3 linked regions of the Lepisosteus oculatus genome follow. The protein of the gene in region 3 purifies or fractionates together with the protein of the main gene of each other region. This does not show direct contact. Links are inferred from orthologs where the notes say so. Each region holds a gene or a part of one and is shown on either strand. Other genes may lie near its edges. The genes, in order: hnrnpua, ewsr1a and protein arginine N-methyltransferase 8.

Region 1 (7,068 bases), on a different chromosome or scaffold from region 3:
CATATGAAAAATGTATTTTAAAGCTCCAATAGCCCCATTGTGAGACAGGTAAACATTCTAAAACACTACAAAATTCTGATGTGCATGCTTCTCAAATCAGGCATTGCATAAATGAGAATATAAATGAGTATAAAAATACTCAACATGGCCTGCTTTTCATGCCACAGTTAAAATCTCTTGTGATCTGAAATTAAAATTAACCCCAATTTTAAAGAAACAGACACATTTATCAAATGGGATAGAAATACAAAATGAATTACCCTACCTTTGAATTACTGACCCCTACATTAAGACAGTTAAATGAAGATGATGTTTTAAGACGTAGGCTTCCACATCGCAAAGAACACGAAGGATTAAAACGAAGACAGCCACATAATTAAATACATGTTTAAGAAAAGCTGATTGTTAGTTCCGCACTTTCACAAACATACGTCCATCAAAGAAAAGCAAAAACGTTCTGGTTAAGCAACCTAATCTGAACCAAAGACGACAAAATCGACATCTCGAGTTTAAAAAAAACTTCTCAGATTTGTAAACGATCGAAACGTCTCATCCCCATTCCTCTTTAAAGCGACAAATTCAATTTCTAACGATGCGCAGGAATTTGACGGTGACGCTGAAACTATAATGAACTGCGTTCTCGAAAGGGGTTGCATGTCAAAACTCAAGGTCCGTCAGAAATGCCTAGATGAAAAGCATGGATAAACGCGCCATTTTAGTCGCCTGCATCCTCAAGAACAGATCGATATTCTTAAAGCAAAAAATAAACCCTTCGCTCCCCACTACTTAATCTGCAGATGACTCAATGTAAGTGAAACTGTTTAGATAAGACTATTACCCCCCAAATACACTAACCGAAGACCCAAAGGGCAGACGTCCTTCTAGCAGAAACCCTACATTATGCGAGCTGAGCCCCCGCCCCCACCCCCACCCTGCCCAGCTGCTCTGGTCTCCTCGGCTTTTCTTTGTTACCCCTTTTACAGAGGAGACCCAGGGGCATCCGTGAATCCGTGAGCCATTCACTTACGCGGTGGCACTTCAGATTTAGCGAAGGCCACCATGGTCCTTACCGGCTGTATTTGCTTTCTTCGATAAATTCAAAGTAGCCCCTTCCATGTTCTTCACGGCGTCTCTTTACACCCTTCTTATTCTTCTGTTCACCTTTCTTGTCTTTATCAGCGTCTCCTTTGAAAAATAAAACACAACATGAAGAGGGATACCTCAGCGTTTGAGCCGAATTGTTACATGGCGGCCACAAACTGCTGCATGTTTTTGTTAAGACTACAGCGCGTTTGGTCTTTTTTTGTGACAGAGAAGACCAAAATTGTAAAGACATTTTTTTCCAAGCTTTATGAACATTCCTCCTCCCCCCCACACCATCGTTGCTCTCCATGCCGGTCAATGTACACGGCATTTACTACAAACAACGCATTTCAAGTTTACTTTCTCCCAGGAAATATTTGCAAATTGAGACCTTTCTCGCCGTTAAAAGCTCCAGCCTGGTTTTCCCAATAAATAGACCCGATTCCCAGTTCAGACTGCGTCTGAAATACGTGGGCAATAAGCGCTGTACACGTTGATAAAATCGGATTTTAACCTTCCCTATCATTTTTCAAAACCGCTACTGCCCACTAACCGTTCAAAGGCACAGATTTAAAAATAAAAAAAATCAGTCCGGCGGGAATATGACGCCTCAAACCAGTCTAAATCTCTCAAACAAATCGTCCAAAACAAACAAAAAAAAAGCCTCCGAAAACTTACAGCCGACAAAACAAAAACGAAAGTACAGTAAAGTCCTGCCACTACAGGAAGGCACGGAACGGAAGGACTAGGCCCGACACGGCTTGAGCAATGTCAGACTGAAGCGCACACGACAGGCAACCGCGGGGAAGAGAGCTGGAGGAACATCCGAGACGTCGCGGGGGGACACAGCTAAAGCCGAGACAGATACACATCCGCAGGCCCGGCCCGTCGCCCACAGAACAATGGAGGCGAGGCGAGTCGCCGCCGCCGCCGCCGCCTCCGACCAGGGCCACCATTTCATCTCGCCTGGCAGCACCATGTGGATCTTTGTCTGGAAAGCGCCGACAAAACCACAAATAGCACCCCGCGTCATTCGCGTCTGACCTCCAAAACGCGTTTGCAGAAAAAGAAGAGAAAAAAAACGAACGCCCAAACTGCGCCTTCGTGTCCGAAGACAAGGCCCCTATCGAAGCACGTCTAACAATTGTTTGGCCCGTATTGTTAAGTAACAGCCATCAATTGCGCCTTCTGCTCCGACCGGCAGGGCTGGCGTAAACACGTGATGTTTCGGGTCTTAGTTAAGATGGGGACTAACCTTCAGCGGGCTGCGATCCTGGTGCCCCATCTTCCTCTTCGAATTTGTCCATTTCTATCCCGGCATCTTCATCATCCTCGGATTTATCCATTTCGACTCCCGCGTCTTCCTCCTCTTCCTCCCCCATCTCATCATCCTGCCCGCCGACATCTGCGCCACCGCCCGGAGCAGCAGGAGCAGCAGCAGCTGTGGCGGCGGCGGCGGCGGCGGCAGTGGTTTCGGCTTCGGCTTCAGCTTCGACTTCTGCTGCGTCCGCTTCGCCCCCGTCTTCCTCCTCCTCGGCCTCCATGCTCTCGCCGGCCAGATCGTCCTCCAGCTCGTCGCCCATCTCATCGAAGCCGCCCGCCCCATCCGATCCCCCCTCGGCCCCGTTCTCCTCGCCTCCGGGCCCGGTGAAAGCGCCACCGGCTTTGGCCTCCTCGTCGAGTGCGGCCTGCAGCCGGTCCATCAGCTCGGCCTTCAGCCCCTTGTCAGAGAGCCGGCGCTTTTTCAGCTCGTCCTTCAATTCGTTTACCTTTAGCTTCTTTACGTTGATTGCACTCATTTTTCCCGTTGGATTTCCGCTCGAAGCTCGGGGATATACAAATATTTTTTTTTTTAAAAGAAAGCCCTGTAGACAAAGTGATACAGAGAAAGCAAAGCCGCCTAGAATTTCTACTGCGCCAAACAACGCTCGTCCCTCTCTGTGCGTCTCTCCCACTGGCAGCTGCGCGGCTATCTAGCGCCAGTTGTACGTAATACACTCTTACCGTATTCATGCGAAAGGAGGGAGAAATTGGGCGGTGACTACCGTAATTAGCCGACAACTGCGACGACAGTTTCATTTGGTACAGTGTTATGCCTGCATATTTTTAGCTTTTGTTAGAAATGTATTAAAAGTTAAGAAACAAATCTGTTGTGCTTAGTAAAACAGCAAACCGGAGTTTATTAGCGTTTTAATTCTGAGGCTTTTCTAATATCAGTGCATGGTCCAGTAAGAATGCACGATCGTGTGCAAAGTGATCCAAGATAAAAAGCCGAAAGTATTTTAAATTCTACATTTTTTTTTTTTGCAGAGCAGAGATATTAGGAAAGTGCGATTGTTCCTTGATGTTTCTGTGAAGCACAACATATTCTAAGCGAATTTCACCAAGGGCCACATGTATTTCGCAATGTACAGAAAAGAAAGAAATAGTGCAATGTTGTAGCTATGCAATGTACAATAACAAATAAAAAAAAAACACGAGAAGACCATTTGCGCGTGTTATTCTGCATAATGCAGCGTAATAGTTTTGGGGGAACAAGCAGTGCTCCCCAATCCTCCGCTTGTCTGCATTTTAGTGGTCCATATATACTTCATCAGATGAGGCAAAGAAACGTTGTCAAATTATGTTGACAGATAACAACTTGCTTACAAGAAGATGATATTTTCTATTATTTTCACTCACATACATAACATGGTGGTTAGCAGTACTGCTTCGTTACTCCAAGGTTCTGAGTTGAATTCCATTTGGGAGCATCTGTCTGTGTGGAGTTTGCATGGTTCCTCCGTGTGCACTTGGAGTTTTGCAGAGTGTTCTTGTTTCCTCCCACCTTCCACCATTCAGGTTGGGTTTCTTTGGCTGCACTGAATTATCTCTGTACAGGGACTGAGCTCAAGGGGATTTCATACTTGAGAGGTTTGTTCTTAGTATTGCCAATGGGCTTTTAGAGAAACACAGACAACCAAACACTTCATCCACTTCAGGGTTGTGTGGGGGGGCTGGAGCCCATCCTGACAAGCAACAGGGAAAGGTAGGGTACACCCTGGACTGGACAGAAGTCAATTATAGGATGAATCATAGATACAAACAAACACACACTTACAACAACAGAGTCCATTCTCCCTGAAGCCAATTAACCTCCCAGTATGTCTTTGGACTGTGGGATGAAACTGGAGAACTTAAAGGAAACTCATTTGAACACAGGGAGAACATACAAACTCCACACAGATAGCACCCAAGGAACTGAACCAATGGCCCCAGCACCACCTCAACACACCATACAACTGTTTCACTTCAAACATTGAATAATGGAATACTACCATGAACATTTTCATATGAAGGTGTACAGACATTATACAGTATTTGCTAACATATCCAAATCCCTTCAAAGTCAACTAAAATAAGTTTAGTTACTGAAGTGAAAAACGTCTTGAGTAGAACAGAAAAGTATATGATTTACACAATGTGTGGGTCAGTGTTGCACATTTCATTAAACTAGAATGCAAATTTATCAGAAACTTTAATGTTTGTGTAGTTTCTGTTTGATGCATTCAAAGAGACAAACCAATACTGGTAACTGGAAACTGGTAAATTGTCACAACAGACAAGTGTTTATGTGACATTTCAAGTATAAATAAGTATCAGAAAATCAATACATTGCCACACAAGGCAGCTTAAAATATGAATTAAAAAGTATTTGTGAATTTTGTCCTACAGTTGTCATTCAATGGGGAAATATTCCATATTCTAACAACATTAGCCCAAATGTACATCAAAAACTATTTAACTGAATTTATGAATGTATCTTAAAATATCAATTGCTAACATATTTAAATAAGGTGATTATTTTATTTACATAGTTCAATTAATTTGTCCTCATAAATTTGAACAGCAGACATATTTTCTTTCGAAGAAATATACTGTTTAGAATTAATTTCCTTTACTAAAACGTCGTGTTGGAAATTATAAATACCTTCGTTGGTATCATTGTTTAAATTTCTCAATTTTTGAAGAAATCAGTCGTGCACCATATTTACATTCGTATTGATACATTATTTTAACTTTCAGTAGAACGTATTTAGATACATATCCTGGAAAACTTTTTTTATTGTTATTGCAGATGCCAATGTACCGTACAGTTTACTAATTGCATAGAGCATGTTTTAAGGATCCAAAAGTAAAGTTGCTACAACTGAAGTCTTGAGGGGAGTTGGGATAGCATTAGGTCTCCTAGCAACTGGAAGAGCAGTGAAACATGGCGGAAGACAAGGATACCGCAGGTATTGTAGCACCACTACCGATCTTTAGTTTTTTGTTATAAAATACTTTCAAGCATGTAGCATGTTTGACCTTCTCCGAAAAATACATTTTTGATTAATTTTATAAATGTACAAATAAGTGTCTGCGAAAGACATGATAACGTAGGTCATGCAGATTCACATAAACGTTACCTGCAAACTTCACTAAGTAAAATCTTGTTTAGTAGTGTACTTAGTTTTACTGAGCAAACCGTTCTGAGTACTGTACCTATTTTTACTGATCAGACGATTGTTTTGACAGGCACATTAGAAGGAACGTAAAAACGATTATGTTTTATTGTCTACCCCACACTCAACTTTCAAACTGTTGAGGGTCTATCAGTAGAAAGCAGTAGCAATAATTAGTCACATGTACAGTGTTGTTAATTTAATAGAAAGTTCGATTAGGTTCTATTTCGCGATGAAATGAGATGAACAACCAGCCATATGATTAAACCATATGATTACAGACGTAAATCTTACGATTCCTTCAGTCGTTTTGCTTTTTGACTACTGTAGTCTGCATTGTTTAAACAAAAGTAGTTTATTATTTAAAATGACTCCTCTTCACATAACTGTAGTCATTTTGGTATGTATTATTGGACTTTGAAGGTTTTGTACTGCAGGTAGAACTGAGACTACTTCAAATTAAAGCTTGTTGGCACATTTTATTTTTGCCTTTTAGACGCAATACTTGCTGCTGTTCAGAAAAAGATCAGCGGCGCTTTTGACGTGTTTGACCACGAGTCCAACAAGACGGTGGATGTGAGGTTTGGGCAACAGATAAACGATGCATTTCGCGAATTGCTTTTCTAATTTTTCAATGGAAAGAACCCATAGATCTCAGAGCGGCAAAGGCAGATACAACATAGGTTTTATCTTTAAACGTCATGTTTACGTTTAGTTAAACGTGATGAATATTTGTTATAAAACAAAGTATTTTGTAATGACAAATGGGTATCGCCACACCAAGCTTTTTCCAAAGCAGGGGGTTACATAGCTTCAGCCTTTCTGGGAAGTTTGCTCTAACATAAATCTAGTCTGTTTTATTAAATAATGTTATGAAACAGTCAGCCTGCTCGTGGGAATAGAACAGGCTTTAAACCACATACATCTTTTGCTGTTAGTTAACATTTTTGGTGCATATAAAATTTCATTAACAAGCAAATGATTTGAGCTTTTTTTTACATAAAGCTTTCACATACAGTATGCACATTTGTAAGAGGTGGGGGACATACCGTATCTATGATGGAAATGTCACAAAGCACGGGAGCGTTTTAGGTGCAGTATTCAACGCTCAATCGATTTTAACTAGACGTTAATAAATCGGTATCAACGTACTGTAGTACTGTACCTCACTTGTTACTCACCTGCGCTTTTCAACCAATGGGTGATTTAACACCGGCAAGGGTGTGACCGCTATCACGATAACGAAAAACATTTTTTGAATTTATATAGAATTTATATAGTATAAGGATACGTTTTCAGTATCGTTATCACTTGTAATTATACACATTGTGACATTTTGTTTGATGTCATTTTAAATGAAATATGTTGGTGTTCATTTTATAAGAATAATTGAACAGGTACAGTATACTTCATTGCATTGGTGTATGATACATTTTAATCAGAATGCAGGTAGTAAAATCGCAATGTATCCTGTTTTTTGTAGGAAACATAATTCAGAGAT
Region 2 (8,023 bases), on a different chromosome or scaffold from region 3:
GGACTGTGGGAGGAAACCTGAGCTCCCGAAGAAAACCCATGGGAACACAGTGGGAACATACAGACTCCACGCAGACAGCACCCCAGAAACTGACCCCAGGGCCCCAGCACTGCGAGGCAGCAATGCTAAAGACTGCACCACCATGCCTCCCTCACAAACATGTCTTTTAAGAAAGTATTTAGGTATAACACACGGCTTGTTTCCGAGACAACAGACAAGAAAACCATGCATTTAGCAAAATGTCATTTTTACGGTCGGACTCAAAGGAAAAACACAAACATGTCCACATACCAACACCAAGAGAATATCTCCATTAGGCCCTATATCAAAGAGAACGCATCTAAATCCCCAATGGAAGCACAAAGCCTCCAAATATGACTCAGATATAACATTTTTTCACAGAATGCTAATTCCAAAACATGAGTCACAAAACCTTAAGGCTCACAGTATCTTCTGGTTTCTATTCCTTTTCCTTCGAGTTTTTAAATGCTACACTGACCTACTTAGAACTTTCTCACTCTTGACCATTAACTTAGCTGCCACCTAAAGCACTGCACTTCACAACCATAGCAGTGGTACTCCACTGTTCTTGAAAACCCAAGACATATGTTAATTCCACCTGCATGAATATGACATGACCTGTGACAGACAGGACTGCAGTCTCTAAATATTCCTGTGTTTGACCTGTTTCATGCACACTGACAACCCTGGACGTAGGGTATTTTTTTGTGCAAACTAGCATGTTCAAGTTCAGACTTCTTTCCACACAACCTCATCTGTTTTGGTTTCAGTTCTTTTACATACGTGACCTTATTTAATTTGATTGGTGAATTACCGAGTCAACCTCTTTCAATAAAAACGACCACTACACACTTCAAACCAGTACTCTGGGGTTGAGGATTACCTATGCAGATTAGACCAGAATGTAAAAAACTGGGGTAGTTTCCTTTAGCATTAGCCCTGCGTGTCAGAAGGGCACTGACCTCTGCGTTCCCAGAACACAGGTTTCGGTGACTCACCGCAGAGATGACACTGAAGATTTGGGCAGCTCCAGTTTCTCGACGGATCCCTCAGGAGCGTCCTGCAGAGAGGCCAGGATCCCTGCTCTCAGCAGCTGCTCTTCCAAGAGCTGGACCTCGGAGACAGCCGGCACCTCTCCTGCTGCCCAGTCAGGTTCCTGGGATTTCCAGGGCTCAGGCCGCATGTCATACTCCTCCCACTGGGACCTCTGCAAGGGCTCCAGCTGCCTGGCAGAGGACGGCTCTGCCCACGGATCAGGTCTGTAACACATGCGTCACGACACAATTGGAATAAGGGCTGGATTCCATGACACAACCCAACCCTTACTGTCTCCCCAGGTCAAAGAAACCCAGGGAGAAGGAAGAATGAAGTAACGTCAGTATTCAACCTGATTATCTGAGCTCTCTACGGTCTAATGTATTAAACGTAGAGTGGAGCACCGGCTGTGAATCTAAGTTATTAGTATTTTATGAGAAGATCCATCTTCTTTGGGTGCACAGATGTCTCAGATTCACCTTGTCATGCTCAGCAGCGTCCAACCTCAAAATGACCGACCAGCTCCCAAGAGGAGATGCAGACACATGCAGGGTTCCTTACAGAGTGTTTCGCACCCTGGGCTTCAGTCGTTCCTACCTTTGACCCGTGCAGCTCACGGGAAGACTGTCTCTATAAGAGGAAAGCACAAAGGCCCTGCGTGGGAGAAGACGACAGAGATGGTCTTCTCCTTTCTGCAGCCACTTGAGAAAGGCCGAGCTATCTGAGAGTCCACAGTGAAGGAAATCAAGTATCACAGACTTTCATTTGTTAATGATTTTTCCTCACAGGTTACAGGGTTTTGGGCCAGCCAGTCAGATTCAGTTCTGTGGTACAAAGTGTCAGCCAGTAGGGAGCAACCGACTGGTATAACAGTCTGCCGTCCCGCTGCTTGCTGGGATCGGCTCCGGCTCCCCTGTGGCCCTGGACTGGATAAAGAGCTTGGAAAATGGACAGATGGGTGACATCCGGGATCTGTAACATCCGCAGTGAAAAAGAGTCTTAAGCAAAGATCACGGCTCTTTAAAATCTGGAGAACAGCAATAATGGTGCAAAATAAGCACTGTGGAAATAAAGTCTTAAAGAAGGGCCGTGTACAAGCCTGCTCCACGAGGGGCAGAGCAGCAGATTCCCACAAGGATACAACTGAATCCCACGCAGACCGCGCACAGGTGGAGCAGGGCGAGGGAGGCCGGCACCAGCAAGCAGCTGCCGGCCAGGAGAGCCCAGGGCAGGGCCCAGGCCGGGAGCCAGCGACGGGCTCGTCCCTGCTGGCCCAGGCGGCACTGGGCAGCCAGCATGGCGAAGTGGACCGGCGAGTAGCCGCCCACCCGCCCCGCCCCGCCGGCCCCCAGCCGCGCCAGGACACAGTACAGCAGGGCCGGCAGGCAGCAGGAGAGCAGGGACAGGGCCAGGAAGCACGCGCTGCCCCAGCGCCGCTCCTGCGCCGGCCCCAGCGCCAGCAGGGCGGCGCTGCTGAGGAGCAGGGCCGCAGGGTCCTGGTGGCAGAAGGCGTAGGTCCACAGGCGGTGAACTCCAAGACAAAGCAACGGACAAAGGGAGTTAACGCCAGGTCCCGCTGGCAGGGTAGACTGTGGGATAACTCTTCCAAGATCATTAAGAAAACGTATATTGTTTCCTACACTTGCTGTGTGTTATCAAAACCCATCTATTGCTACATGCAGTTACATCTAAAAACCTAAAACAACCCTTCCGTTATTTGTTTAGATTTATATAGAAATGTATGCTGTAATGATAGATCTAGTATTTTATATATTAATTCTATATTTAATTTCCTCAGCAGCTGCTAGGCAGGAGACACCCTCGTGTTCCTGTGAAAGAGAACGGTGCAGGTGCGCCTGTACCTACCGCCTGCTGCACGAATGCACCCCTGGGCGGACTCACCTTGCAATCCAGGTAACACTTTTTCCGAGTCGAGGTACAGAGTGTCGTACGCTCCGCTGAGCCAAGTAACCAGTACGGCACCGAGCAACCCGGCGGTGCCGGCTGGAAACCCGGACCGGTTCGACCCAAGCCGAGACCAGAACGAGGGGAACCGGCTAAGCATCGCAAGTCATCTGTCCGCCCATTCTGTCAAGCGCCAGGTGCCTCTTCCCCCGCCTTACTTTCAGTATGAAATCAACACCTGAAGGCTTTCACCGGCTAAGAGTCCCCTCACCACCAATTTCGTCGAAACTGAAACAGTCGAGTTCAATAAATGGTTCGTGCAATACCGTGTCTGCGATATTCAGGACTCTCTCTGAAGGTTTAGTGAACCACCGCATTGTCAACCCATAATTTACAAATAAAACCCTATTTCATTTCAGCCACGACGAAGCATATTAGGAAAAAGTACTAAACTTCCCCGAACCGCACATCCTAGAGTTAGGGACCATCACAAAACTGAACACTAGACCTGACGAGCTTGTTATCCGATGAACACAAGTAAAAGTCAAGAGTAGTTCAGGAGGGTAGCTGCGCCAGCACGCGTAGGTTGCAATTGAACAAGTAATAGGTTTATTCCATGCTGAATAGAGAAGAAAGAAAACACACAACGTTTCGGCCGTGGAGCCTTCTTCAGGTGTGAGAACGACAGGGCAGTAGGCAGAGGTAATGTAGCAGGAGAACAAGAGCTGGGAGAGAGGAGGGGACAGACAGCTCAGTTGCAGGGGAAAGTGCCTGGTGTGGATGGGTGCTGAGGGCAGTCAAGGGAGCTGTGAACAAGAAGGTTGCGCAGATTAGGTGGTCAGCGATACGAGATGATGGGTGGTCAGAAAAGAGGGCCCCAATGGAGGGATCATCCTGTAGGCTGGAAAAGTTGTTGCTAATGGTCTTGGGGATAGACAGTGTCGGGGCGGTAGGGAAGCACAAAGGTATGCGGTTGTTACGGCGGGGGTTCCTGATTGAGCTGATGGTCTGAGGGGTGTTTTTGGCTCGGGCGAGGGCCCCGTCAATCACACTGCTGGGATATCCTCTGCTGATGAAAAAGGAGCACATTTTGAGGGCTTGGTTCTGGAAGTCGGTGTCGTCGCTGCATAATCATCGTAGCCGAAGGAACTGTGAAAAGGGAAGAGAGTTTTTAGTGTGTTTGGGGTGAAATGAGCTGTACAGGAGATAGCCGTGTGAATCTGTGGGTTTGTAATAAACCGAAGTGGAGAGTCGGGGGTAGTTGACGGAGAAGTTGATGTCTAGAAACGAAAGAGTAGAGGAAGATATGTTAACTGTATATTTGAGGGACGGGTGGAAGTTGGTGAAATGATGCAGGAAGAACTCAAGCTGATCGTTGGAGCATGTGGCAGCACCGACGCAGTCATCAATGTATCGCTTGCAGAGGTCAGGGACATAGCCAGTGTAGGAAGCGAAGAGACAATCTTCTACCCAGCCGACAAAAATATTGGCATAGCGGGGTCCCATTCTGGTGCCCATGGGAACTCCACTCACCTGTTGGTAAAAAAGGTTATTGAATGAGAATTCTGTGTGAGAACCAATTCTGCAAGGCGTACCAGTCAAAAATATATGACTAACCTTGTCCTCCATCTACAAGATGTGCACAAAGAGCACCGTGAGTCTCAGATTAAAATAATTACTCGCAGGGCAGGATTGCTCTGTGTTGAATTGTCACCTGTTTGTGTTTCATCGTATTGAATTTTTCTTCTCATTGAAAAATTTTGAGACGGTCCCTAGCATGCTTTTTACGTCATGTGGGGGGGGGGGGGTGACCAACTAGAATGTACCATTTTCGAAGTGAGTTCGAGTTCCCTAAAACCCAGCGTATGGAAAAAAAATCACTGACCATAAATAAATAATTTACCCACAAGAACTAAATCGCGTTATTACGTGAATGGATCCTAAACTTTCCAAATGGATCGGATTTTTTTGCTTCTTCTCCTCCTCCTACGACGGTGAGAGTTGGTAGAGGCTTAAGCCCCTCTTCGCGCATGCGCGCCAGGAACACTCACAGAGGACACACGAAATGGCGTCAGCAGCTGGTGAGGGCGGCGGGGAAGCCGTTTCGATTTATTACTCGGTTTTATATATATATTTTGGTGAAAATGGCAAACAGATCTGACCGCTGTTACTAGATGGCACGCACTGCAGCATGCTCCCCGTCCCCTTGTGGCGGTGTTTAGGCTGTGAAAGCGAGATAATTGCAGTATTGGGGGATGGGGTGGACGTACATCCCCATTTAGTTGGAATACTTTTGAATTTCAGGGTTCTGCGCCGGTTGCATCGGCCTCTGCAGAAACGCCTTTTCCTCGGTGCCATAAGACGGGATCGTTTTTTTTTCCCCCTCATATTTTGTCCGTGAAGGGGCTGGATTTGCAGCGTACGGAAGGACAACTGTTGCCTTGTGGCCGGTGTTCAAAACTAATCAATTAAACCAAGCGCATCTCTTCCGTCGGGCGGCGTAACCCCCCCCCCCCCAAAAAAAAGAGTGCGTTTTATTTGTTAAAATGTATTTTTGCCTCCGTATTTTCGTGCGCGGTGTGCACGGTCGCTTGATCGCGTCCGGAGACAGCGGTGCTCGCCGGTGCGAGGTGAAGCGGACGGGGTGGCCGCGGTCGCGGCCTTCTGAGAGTGGAGACACCCTGGCCGCGACGGAGGAGGGGACCTCCCGCTACCCTGACGGAGAGCGGGCAAGCCGAAATGAGGCGTGCATATCTGGCGGTTGTACAGCGGCAGGGCGGGCGGTCCAGCGTTACAAGCGCTTGAATGGCGTGTTTGGGGGGATCTAGCTGAGCTGTTCGTGGGGGCGCCTCGTTCTTCACACCTTCGCGAGTCCGAGGGCCAGATGTGGTTGTTGTTGTTGTTTACTCCCTTACCCCCACCCCCAAAAACAAAACTCGCCATAATCGGAGTGCACGCAGCCCCCTGGGCGTGTGTGGGGTGTTCCGGCCTGCCGGATCGCGGGTGTTTTCCCGAGCGGCTCCTGCGCCATGCGGGGCTGTCAGACGCCGCCGGCTTGTTGTAAAAACGCTGCTATGGCGACCTCCTCCTCTTCCTCCTCCTCCTCCTCCGCGCTGCAGCGCCAGCTGCATGCCCAGGCCCTGCCGGGGTCACACGGCTGCCCACACTCCTGTTGGGGCGCAGCTGTAGGTGTTGTTGTGGGGATGGCCTTCGCTCAAACCCCCCAGGTGCTTGGTAAACGCTTATTATTATTATTATTATTATTAATATCGCGATGGACCCCCTTTTTTTTGCAGTGGAGAAGTGCGTCAGATATCAAACTTCTTTTTTAAAAAAAGAAAAAATTGCATTTTGAGCAAGGTATCCGAGCTGTATCGACGCGACTCCGCGACTTGGGTTTGTTTGTTTTTTAGCGTGACGGTGTTCCCTCAGCCCGCTGTGCGTGGTGAGGTGATGGGGAATGCGAAGGACAAAACTGCACGCAGTTATTTTGTCTGAGAAAGGCTTGGTTTTGAACCTGTGATATTCGGGCTTCTACTGCTGTTAAGGCCTTAATGTATCTTATTTTTAATTTTCCTAAATTGTAGCTAGTGATATCCTGCTGCATTTGTGTTCAGCTGCTGCATACCTGAGTTGTCCTTGTACCTGTGTGCACTTTCACGCCATCTTCGATCTGTACTATACCCTCTATACCTTAAAGTATAATTCCTCCTTTCACAGGCTTGGGATGCTTAGTGCTGTGTTGCCTTCAAGTGTCTGTGGGCTGTGTGTGAACTTTGTCCCCTGTTGTCCAACTGGAAGACTAGCCCTGTGTTATTTTACTGGACGTTGCACTCTGGGATCCCTATCTCTCCACAGAGCTGAAGTGATCATTGAGGCTGTTGTTTCAGTGTTTACAAAGGATGTGCTGTTTCATGGTTTTGATAGTTGTTTGTTCTTGCCCAACAATGTCTGTAGCTTCTAGCTAATCCTGTGGCCATTGTTTGTAAGCTCACAATGCTCCTAGCTTTCCTATTCAAACATGCCATAACTGCTACATGAGTGAATACAGTCGTTTGTATATGTGAAATACCCTTGGAATTTGACTATAACTAAACATGATGAGATTATTTTAAAAAGTCTGCAGAACTTAATGCTAGTGATGTTTAAGCCTTGCTTTTCCCTTCAGTTTTTTTGTCTTTACAGTGCTTGACACTGTTAGGCATTTGCATCTTGGTTAGAGTTGTATTAATTTGGTCTTCAAATTCCAATACAGACAGCAGACTCTTTTGTAATTCTCCTGTCTTTCTAGGTTTTCTTGCAGAATATACAAGTGTTTTAAATTACATATGTCTAATCCCAAATATGTGTTTTTGTAAAGGCTTTATATTGGATTCTAAATGTGCTTTATTTAGAATTCATGATATTATCTAAAACTATTCCACAAACATGCAGTGACTGGTAGTTTAACGTGTATATGGCTGTTGCCACAACTGTAATGTACTGTGTACATTGCTTTCTATGCTCTGAAACCTGAGCAGGTAATTTTCTCAAATGCCCTGTTTGAAAAACAGTTGTAGTCCAGTTTATGTAAACTCATTATGGCCCACAACTGTGTAATGCTATTGACAGGCTTTACCTGAGGGTCTTCCATTCCTAGTTCTGCAGAGGTCCAGCACAAGAGGTTTTGTAGTTTTCTCCTAAATTATGTTTGTAAAACTGTAGAATATTGTAATTGTGATAAGATTTTTAGCAGACTTTTATAGCACAATTATAAATAAGTTAGGCATCAAGAGCCAAAGATCCTTGAATTAAGATTTGCCCAGTAATTGTTCCCAGTTTTTAGACGTAGGCCCAGGTGATTCAGGATGACCTGTGTTTAATTGACCTGATAAATCATGTAGTGTATTTTGAAGCTACAACATTTCATCTATCAGAACAGTCTACATATCTTCATTGTAGCCAAGAGTTGAAGACTCCGCAAATATAGAGCCAAATGATAATATGCTGTCTTTAAGACTATACAGGAAAGTGCATTTTAAGGTTCCAGGATTAAAGTGTTCCTACCATTTCATTATTAGAG
Region 3 (7,788 bases):
GACTGAATTTAAAGTCACTTTTGACCACTGATAACAGAAGCTCTAATTTTTTTAAAGAATTTTATTCGTCCATTTTCAGTGCATCCACTTATATTACCCAAAAAAAGAATATTTAAATAATATAATGTTATATTTATGACTAGAGTCATGCTCTATAACTGGGGGACACGTTTTTCAGTGAGTATCTTCTGTCATTTTTATAACACAATTATGTTGCCAACAAAGGGAAATTTTGCACACAATCTTTCCATGTATTAGAACATAAGAAGGATTGTAAATGAGAGGAGGTATCTGGGTCTTTCAGCTACTAATTAGTTAGTAGCTAATTAATCTGAAGACTTCGTTCACCAGTTTCTTAAAAGAAGCCAGGGTATCAGCTTTGACAATATCACTACATAGCTTGTTCCATACTCCCACATCCCTTGTGCCACATCAGAATTGCCTCCTGAACTTGCAAGTCAAGTTCCCTTCCAAATACTGTGCACTTATGATCTCTGATTAGTGTATCACTGTTGAGACTCAAAAGGCACCACTGTCACTTTAGGTTGATTTGGAGGATGCTCATTACTTGTTTCCATTCATGTATTCCTAAATTAATATTCATCCATTTTTTTTTCACAAACCCTATGCTAATGAAAATGATTTCACTTTGAAGATTTGGGGGAACAGTAAGGGACTGAAACAACTGGAATAGTTGTTGATAAGCTTCACACTTCTCATTATGTTTCGGCTAGGAAATATAAACACACTTATCCTGCTCTTTTTATGAGTACTGATTAAAGAAGAGCTTTGAACATTTTTAATGGTAGTTTTTTTTACCAATGGAAGCATTTAAGCGATTATCGGAAAATTGTGAAATATTGTTATTGACAAGTCGAAAGCAATACTTCCAATGTTAACAGCCAAAATAATATGAAGAAGGCTTCACAGCCGAAACGTTGTGTTTTCTCTCGTCTCTTTTCAGCATGGAATAAACCTATTACTTGTTCCTTTGCAAAATAATATGAATATTCCAAAAATAAGTACTTTTAATTTTTCTTTGTTTTTTATTGTGTGCTTAGAGCTATTCTTAATAGTTTCTTGGGTCAAACATGGATGTACAAATCCTAATAGTTTGTACAGAGCAAGGGAAAGGTTTTTAAGAGCAAGGCTTTCATTTAGAGTACAGATCTATTTCAACTGCTTCAGAATGAATATCATTAATCATATTATTGACGGATTGCTAAAAATAACTGCCTCAGTGCTTCAAATGTACAGTCAACTGAGTCAAGTCAGATCTGATAACCCACAACTCCTCAGATTTACAATACAAAAAGTAAGGTAGCTGCTCCAGGTGAAACTAGGCACTGTATGATAATGATTTCCTCCTTCTACGCGACGTGTAAATCAGAAGGCCTTATTTAGCCTTTTTATTTAGTAAAATAGCCGGGTGTAACGTTGGTTTTCAGAGATTTAGAAAACTGCAGCTTTTTGAAGCACCAAGGACAGCTCACCCTCACAACTAGTACGTCGTGTGTAATTTAACATAATTAATATTATTATTTAATCTGCATCTTAATATGATTTTAACAAAAACGCCTTCCCCATAGTCGTAAAGGGAAGAATATAGGACACAGGTCTGTTACCTAGGTCAAGGTTTCGCCTAAGGTCTATCCACTGCATTTGCTACATAGAATCACGATGATCCGTTACAGTCTGGAATGGCTGATGAATTTTTAATCACCACGGTTTCTAATTTTGTCTCAGAACAGGAGCATGATAAATGTGTATGTCATTTCTCATGCCATAAACATAATGCAGTCTTTTCCATCCTACCTTTAACTGTTAAATTATACAGATGACCGCAACAACTGACATTGAATAGACATAAGATAATTGTTTACGGAATTTAGCGGGTTTTGTGTTATTTGTTTTCCAGTCCTCTAGCCTATTTAAGAATAAAGCATAATAGCAGAACATACCACTGTTTTGTCAGATTTTCTGAAGTATTTTGACGAAGCTTTTCTCTTACCTACCTCTGGATTCTCGGTCTCCGCCATTTTTCTCCTTAGGAGCAGGCAGCGGGAGGAGTGTTTCATTCCCATAAGAGCCAAAGTGATTTTTTAACTCGATGAGGGTAAAAAAATCAGGTTGATTTTTATTGTTTTAGCTTTTTGACTATTTTGACTTATATATGAGCTTTGAAACAATCTAGTGAGAAATTGTTCAGTAGTAAAAGAAATAAATAGCAAAAATAAACTTAAGTCCCCGAACAAGAGAAACCTCTTTTCCAAGTCAAAAAGATCTTTGAATCCATAGTGCAAAGTTGTCAACGGTGTTGTTCCCTGTGTGTGGATTTGGGATAACTCGCATCACTTGACAGTGATTTTAGACAGGGTCAAAAACACTCCCTTTTCCTCATTCACTACAGTATGCACACAAATTAAAGTGTCTTTAAAATAAACAAGAGCAATTAATATCTCGTAACATCTTCCAATTTGTCTAAAACAGGCTCTTCGTGAAAACTCATTGAGGTTATGCATAAATTCTTACTTTTATGCAATTTTCTCACTGCAAAACGATTGTCTTTTACTAGGTCAGATTTTAGTCATCTCTGTCCCATTTATAAAATCGCAATACATCTGTTGCTTTTTAAAAGTCTGTTGATGATGTTAAACCTTGCAGATATTGCAAGTGTGAACTAGTAAATATAATCTCCTTCAATGATCCCTTTGATGTAGCCTAGTTCTGTACGAGTGACTCGTTTCTGCCATCGCAGTGAGCCAAGCTCTTCGTGATCTTTTATTTGCCGTTTTTCTTATTGATTTCGACTCTTTAGGCACCTGCTTGGTATCGAAAGCCGAACTTCCCTCTGAGTCAGGATTGAAACTTGCGAAGTCAAGCATATAGTCATGGTCAAATAATCCTTCTGTCGCCCTTGCCGTTTAGGAATGCCTCTCTTTAATTGCTGCCTCCCACATTCCTGCTGTTGTTCCACCTTCCCAGCAGATCTTTGCATTGTTGAATATAGAAGTCGAACTCATTTTTGTAGAGTTATATGAGCCAATAGAATTCCCAGCCTTCCTCATCTCTACGCGTTACCAGTGGATCTTAAGCTCTGACAGATCGAGCCCCTTCTGACAAATAAAGGAAGCCGTGCCCTTCGGGTACGCAGCAACCTGCTGGGTGCGTTTCTATTGTACTGTATGTTCCGTGCATTTTTCGCCCTTTTCCCTTAGCGTTCCTACACAAAACTCTCATTTCACATAAAGGAATTAATACGTGGTAATGGCAAAACATGTTGTTTTCTACTTAATGTTGTTTTCTACTTAACGCCGCATTTTATTCTCCGAAGTATGACACAGGTCAATGGCGTACAATACTGAATATTCTGAAATATCCATGCGGTGTATTACGAAATAAGATTATTGCCAAAGCAACATTTGCTTCAGAGATTAGATATGTAGGTCTGAATGTTGATTAAAATATTCATACAGTACATTCATAGTCGTATACAGTACAGCTGAACAAAATAGTATTACAGTTTCATCTATGATGATCATTTTAAGTAACATCATTTCCCCTGTCTCATATCACCGAACAGCTTGAGTATGTGAAAATAAGGAACAGTTAAAAATAACATGTTGTCTAGTTCTCATTTTCACTTTAACAAGGGACTTCTTTGCTAAAAACGCGTTAATTAGCCTTCATTTTCATGAAAAGTCCAGAAACGCTTTGCTTTTATACTGTAGCTCTAGCAATGAAAACCTAAAATATATTTTAATGTAGCAAATTATATGAACAATCAAAGTAGGCATTATTATGGTTGGTCGGCAGGGTGGCGCATTGGTTAGTATAGCTGTTTTGCAGCGCTGGTGTCCTGGGATCAACTCTGGATCTGGGGTGCTATCTGTGGGGAGTTCGCATGTATTCCCTGTGTTCGTGTGTGTTTTGTCTGCGGGCTCCAGTTTCCTTCAATAGTCCAAAGACATAGGCAGCACATACAGTATACTAATACAGTATACTAATTTGGAACGATACAGAGAAGATTAGCATGGCTCGCGCAAGGAAAGACCTTGGGCAAATTGGACAAATTGGGAAAATTGGCCCTGGTGTGAACGCGCGTCTGTGTGTGTGCCCGGCGATGGACTAGCGTCCAGCCCAGGGTATATACCGCCCTGCCCCTGTTGGTTTCCGAGATACCGCCCTGCCCCTGTTGGTTTCCGAGATAGGCTCCGGTTTCCCCGCTGCCTTCACTTGGATGAAACTCGATGTATAGTTGGATTATTAGGATTTTTATTGTGTTTCATGTGATTGTTAAGAATTCGATTTAGCATGTTTTTACAGGTGGCATGCTAAATATTATTTTATGAACACGTGCTTTTCTTGCAAAAATAGACATCAGAAGAACATACTGTAGAAGTCAATTATTTCAGTTGTCGAGACGAAACAAACCTATAAGCGTTTTTATTTTTTGCGTTTTATAGTTCTCAAAAAAATCTATACGAAATTGTATGTCATGTAGCAGGCAGTTGAGGAAAAAACAAGTCATACAGACACCAGCTTTTGCAAGGCTAATCTGAAAAACTATCAACGCTGAAGGTTACCCAAATGCATATCTCTGTGGAGATACAGTATCTTTTAAAATACACAAATTTCCTTTTGATAGTAAAACAATTAAATTAATGCATCTCACAACTGCCTGGTGGATTTTAATGCTTAAGCATACCAATGTGTGCTTCTTCACAATTTTAAGATTAGAAGTTGTGTTTATTTTCAGACAACACCCACCACTGCATCTTCCCACGGTCAGGATTGCATAACACCACTCCGAGGGCAAAATCTCCGTGCGCCGAAATTCTCCAGTTAGAGTGACTTAATCTAACCCACACACTAAGCCCTCTTGCTGTACCGTTCAACTCCCACCCCTTCCCTGGGGGTGAGAGAACTAGCATCACCATCAATACGAGTAGGTTAAGAAACACAAATCGGAATGTTTTCATGCTTATGTAGCATAGCTTCAAGTTAATGTAGAATATGTAGCAGAGTTTTCTATATTATAGTAACGCTTCTGCGTATCGTGTATCTTGGGAAGAGAATGTCATAGTATAATGGTTTATAATCTGGAAATCGTTCAAAAACTAACCTTATTTAATGTGTGAAATAGAATTCTGAGACGCAGAGAGAAAAATAATACACCCAGCGTACTCTTGGAGTAAATTTAAAACTTCAGTTTTAGCTTGGTTTTGGATATACGGCACCTTGCACTTCTAAGAAATTACATCCAGCGAATATCGAACTTTACAAACCTACCCTCACTGCAGATACTGTATACAGTATGACGTCTTGAAGCGAATCCTTGATGTTTTCCAACGCTAGCTACAGCCAAGCCGTTTTACTGTAGATCTTAATCTAAAACGGGTTAAACCACGATTCTCTAGTTCCTTTCACAAATACTAAACCAAAGTGTTTTTTTCTTTTTAAATTCAATTTTAGTAGAACAGATAAAAAAATAGCTGAATTGCCTAAATACTTCCTTTAGACACTGCACATATTTTGTGTTTTAAATGTTTATTGCCGATTTAGAATCGGAAAGTTTGTCACCCCTGAGATTTAAAACAAAACTCCAATTCTGGGTGGAAATTAAAATAACAACTTGCCATTTTTTTTTTACGTTCAGAGATAATGAACCAAGGGAAATTCCTGTATTTTTTTCTATAATATGAAGGAATCAAGAAACTGAAATTATAACATTCATTCCATCTTAACTATGCTGTGTTGTTGAGGATATTGATTATTATAGATGTACAGTAACTGTGCAAACTCAATAGTTAATTGACTGTTGAAAAGTGGCTACCAAATGACTACTACTGTACCTATTGCACATTATTTTCTAATCCATCTTTCGTGACGGTCTAAAGGGTAGACCCAATTCATGTATCCTCAAAATCTTCAAAGCCATTGTGAACCCAAAGGACTTCAGAATCAAAAGTCAAACAAAAATTAGGGGATGCAAAACAAAAGGCTAGGTGGCATTTTTAATGCAAATGATTTTGGTATCATCGAACAAGTTTCCCAGGCATGTCATACTGGCAAGTTTTACTGAGTAAAATATACCGAAGGATATATAGTTAAGAAATGAGAGGTGACAGGTATTATCTAATATAGCAGGTAATATCAGATTTATCTCTATCTAACCAAATGAGATTTGGGCAAGGAGAGAAAGGAGGTCAGGGACTGAGCAGTTGTGATTTCAGAAGGTAGTGTCACGGATGTCAGAAAGGGACGAACCGTGGAATGCCAGGAGAGCGTAAAAGACCCTATGCGAAGCGGCGAGTTGGGGGTTAGCCCAGGCTCAACTGTTCAGAGAATGCCATATAGAAACCTATGCCCTCATGTAGCAGACATGGAGCGAACTGGTGCTAGGCGGGTTTCAGGATATCCGAACGTCAATGCTGAGCGAAGGCAGAATGAAAGACCCGGAAATATATAGCCCCAAAGAGAGAGAAACACCGGAAGGACAGCAAAGAACCGGAAAAGAGAGACAGGACAGAGAAGGAGCACCCTCTGGCTGCAGAGGGCGTGACAGGTAGTACTGTATATGCTGTCACTCCAATCAGGGGCAAGAGTGGAAAATGAATGGGCTCTTGAAGTGGGAGAACGGATACACAGAAAATTTGGCTTTCACAAAGGGGGAGCATAGGGAACAGGAGTGGACGCAGGGAGAAATATGAGACTAAAGAAAGTCAGGAGTGGGGAGGATGAAACAGTGGTAGGCGAGAACTTGAGTTTTGCCCTGGGTGTGTGTGGTAATAGGGAACCAGTGGAGGAACTGCAGTAAGGGTGCAGCATAAACAAAGCAACTTTGAGAAAAGAGAGTAGAATTCTGAATGAGTAGGAGTGCATGGATAGTGTTAGTAGACAGGAAAGATCGAAGAAAGCTGCAGTAGTCTAGACTGGTATGAGCCAGAGCCTGGCTAGAAGCTGTGTTGAAAAGCTAGTACATAAGAGGAAGATTCTGCTGATTGTGCTGTTAAAGAAACAGGAGTGTGATAAAATGTGTATGAAATAGGAGAATGTGGAGGGCAATAAGACTCTGAAGATTCTTAGCAGATGAGGAGAGGAAAGGGGTGAGGTGGAGGAAGTTTGAGAGTCAAGAGGAAATATGATGGAGAGGTCCAGTTTGGAAGAAGAAGAGAAAAGGAAGAAAAGGACATAAGACCTTAAGGACCTGGGTTTAAGATGATGGGAATCCACCGAGGTGACGACACCTGTGTGACAAGAAGATATGTGTAAGTAGCAGCTATGACCATAATAGTGAAGAAAAGAGTGGAATATCTGAGCATCATCAACGCAAAAATAATTTCAGAATCTGTGGAAATTGGTGAGAGAGGTGTTGAGAGAGAACTGAATGGGTCCCTGGGCACAGCTTTGGGAGACCAATGGACAGAGCAAAGAGGACAAAGCAAGTCTTTCCAGAAGATCTGATATTTAGTGGGAGGAGAATCTTATTTGAGCAGTTCCTGAAATATATATGTCAGGAAGTGTTGACAGGTCATTGAGCAGCCACAGTGTCAATAGTGGTAGAAAGACTAAGCAGGATTAAGACTGAGGAGAGGGAGAGAGTAGGAAATGAATCAGTGAGAATCAGTACCAGAGAATTTAATTGATTGTGAGGAGTGAAAGTCAGAATGGAGGGAGTTCATTGCCAAGTGCAGAAAGAAGAAGAAAATGGAGTGGCGGCAGTGAAGCACCTGCTTGAGGGTGTTGGAGAGAAAGGGAAGAAGGCAGACTAAAAAATACTGTAGG

Evidence for each region.
Region 1: the proteins of protein arginine N-methyltransferase 8 (region 3) and hnrnpua purify together in Homo sapiens (affinity purification with mass spectrometry; 3 studies listed by BioGRID and IntAct, counting the BioPlex papers as one, with this or other methods). This does not show direct contact. The link is inferred for Lepisosteus oculatus from reciprocal best matches to the Homo sapiens genes PRMT8 and HNRNPU.
Region 2: the proteins of protein arginine N-methyltransferase 8 (region 3) and ewsr1a purify together in Homo sapiens (affinity purification with mass spectrometry; 3 studies listed by BioGRID and IntAct, counting the BioPlex papers as one, with this or other methods). This does not show direct contact. The link is inferred for Lepisosteus oculatus from reciprocal best matches to the Homo sapiens genes PRMT8 and EWSR1.

What each region holds. Positions count from the first base shown.
Region 1 is NC_090697.1:23,072,014-23,079,081, forward strand, and holds the start of hnrnpua (heterogeneous nuclear ribonucleoprotein U), read right to left. Parts: upstream 3,056-7,068; 5' UTR 2,883-3,055; coding exon 2,339-2,882; intron 1,186-2,338; coding exon 1,071-1,185; intron 1-1,070. Other genes in the region: efcab2 (dynein regulatory complex protein 8), read left to right, coding at 5,336-5,360, 6,064-6,148. UniProt on the Homo sapiens protein: DNA- and RNA-binding protein involved in several cellular processes such as nuclear chromatin organization, telomere-length regulation, transcription, mRNA alternative splicing and stability, Xist-mediated transcriptional silencing and mitotic cell progression.
Region 2 is NC_090717.1:13,479,266-13,487,288, reverse strand, and holds the start of ewsr1a (RNA-binding protein EWS), read left to right. Parts: upstream 1-4,992; 5' UTR 4,993-5,026; coding exon 5,027-5,042; intron 5,043-8,023. Other genes in the region: rhbdd3 (rhomboid domain-containing protein 3), read right to left, coding at 1,020-1,280, 1,654-1,777, 2,198-2,587, 2,959-3,121. UniProt on the Homo sapiens protein: Binds to ssRNA containing the consensus sequence 5'-AGGUAA-3'. Might normally function as a transcriptional repressor. EWS-fusion-proteins (EFPS) may play a role in the tumorigenic process.
Region 3 is NC_090702.1:12,133,277-12,141,064, forward strand, and holds the start of protein arginine N-methyltransferase 8, read right to left. Parts: upstream 3,100-7,788; 5' UTR 2,886-3,099; coding exon of another isoform or gene 2,823-2,885; 5' UTR 2,085-2,822; coding exon 2,016-2,084; exon of another isoform or gene 2,012-2,015; intron 1-2,011. UniProt on the Homo sapiens protein: S-adenosyl-L-methionine-dependent and membrane-associated arginine methyltransferase that can both catalyze the formation of omega-N monomethylarginine (MMA) and asymmetrical dimethylarginine (aDMA) in proteins such as NIFK, myelin basic protein, histone H4, H2A and H2A/H2B dimer.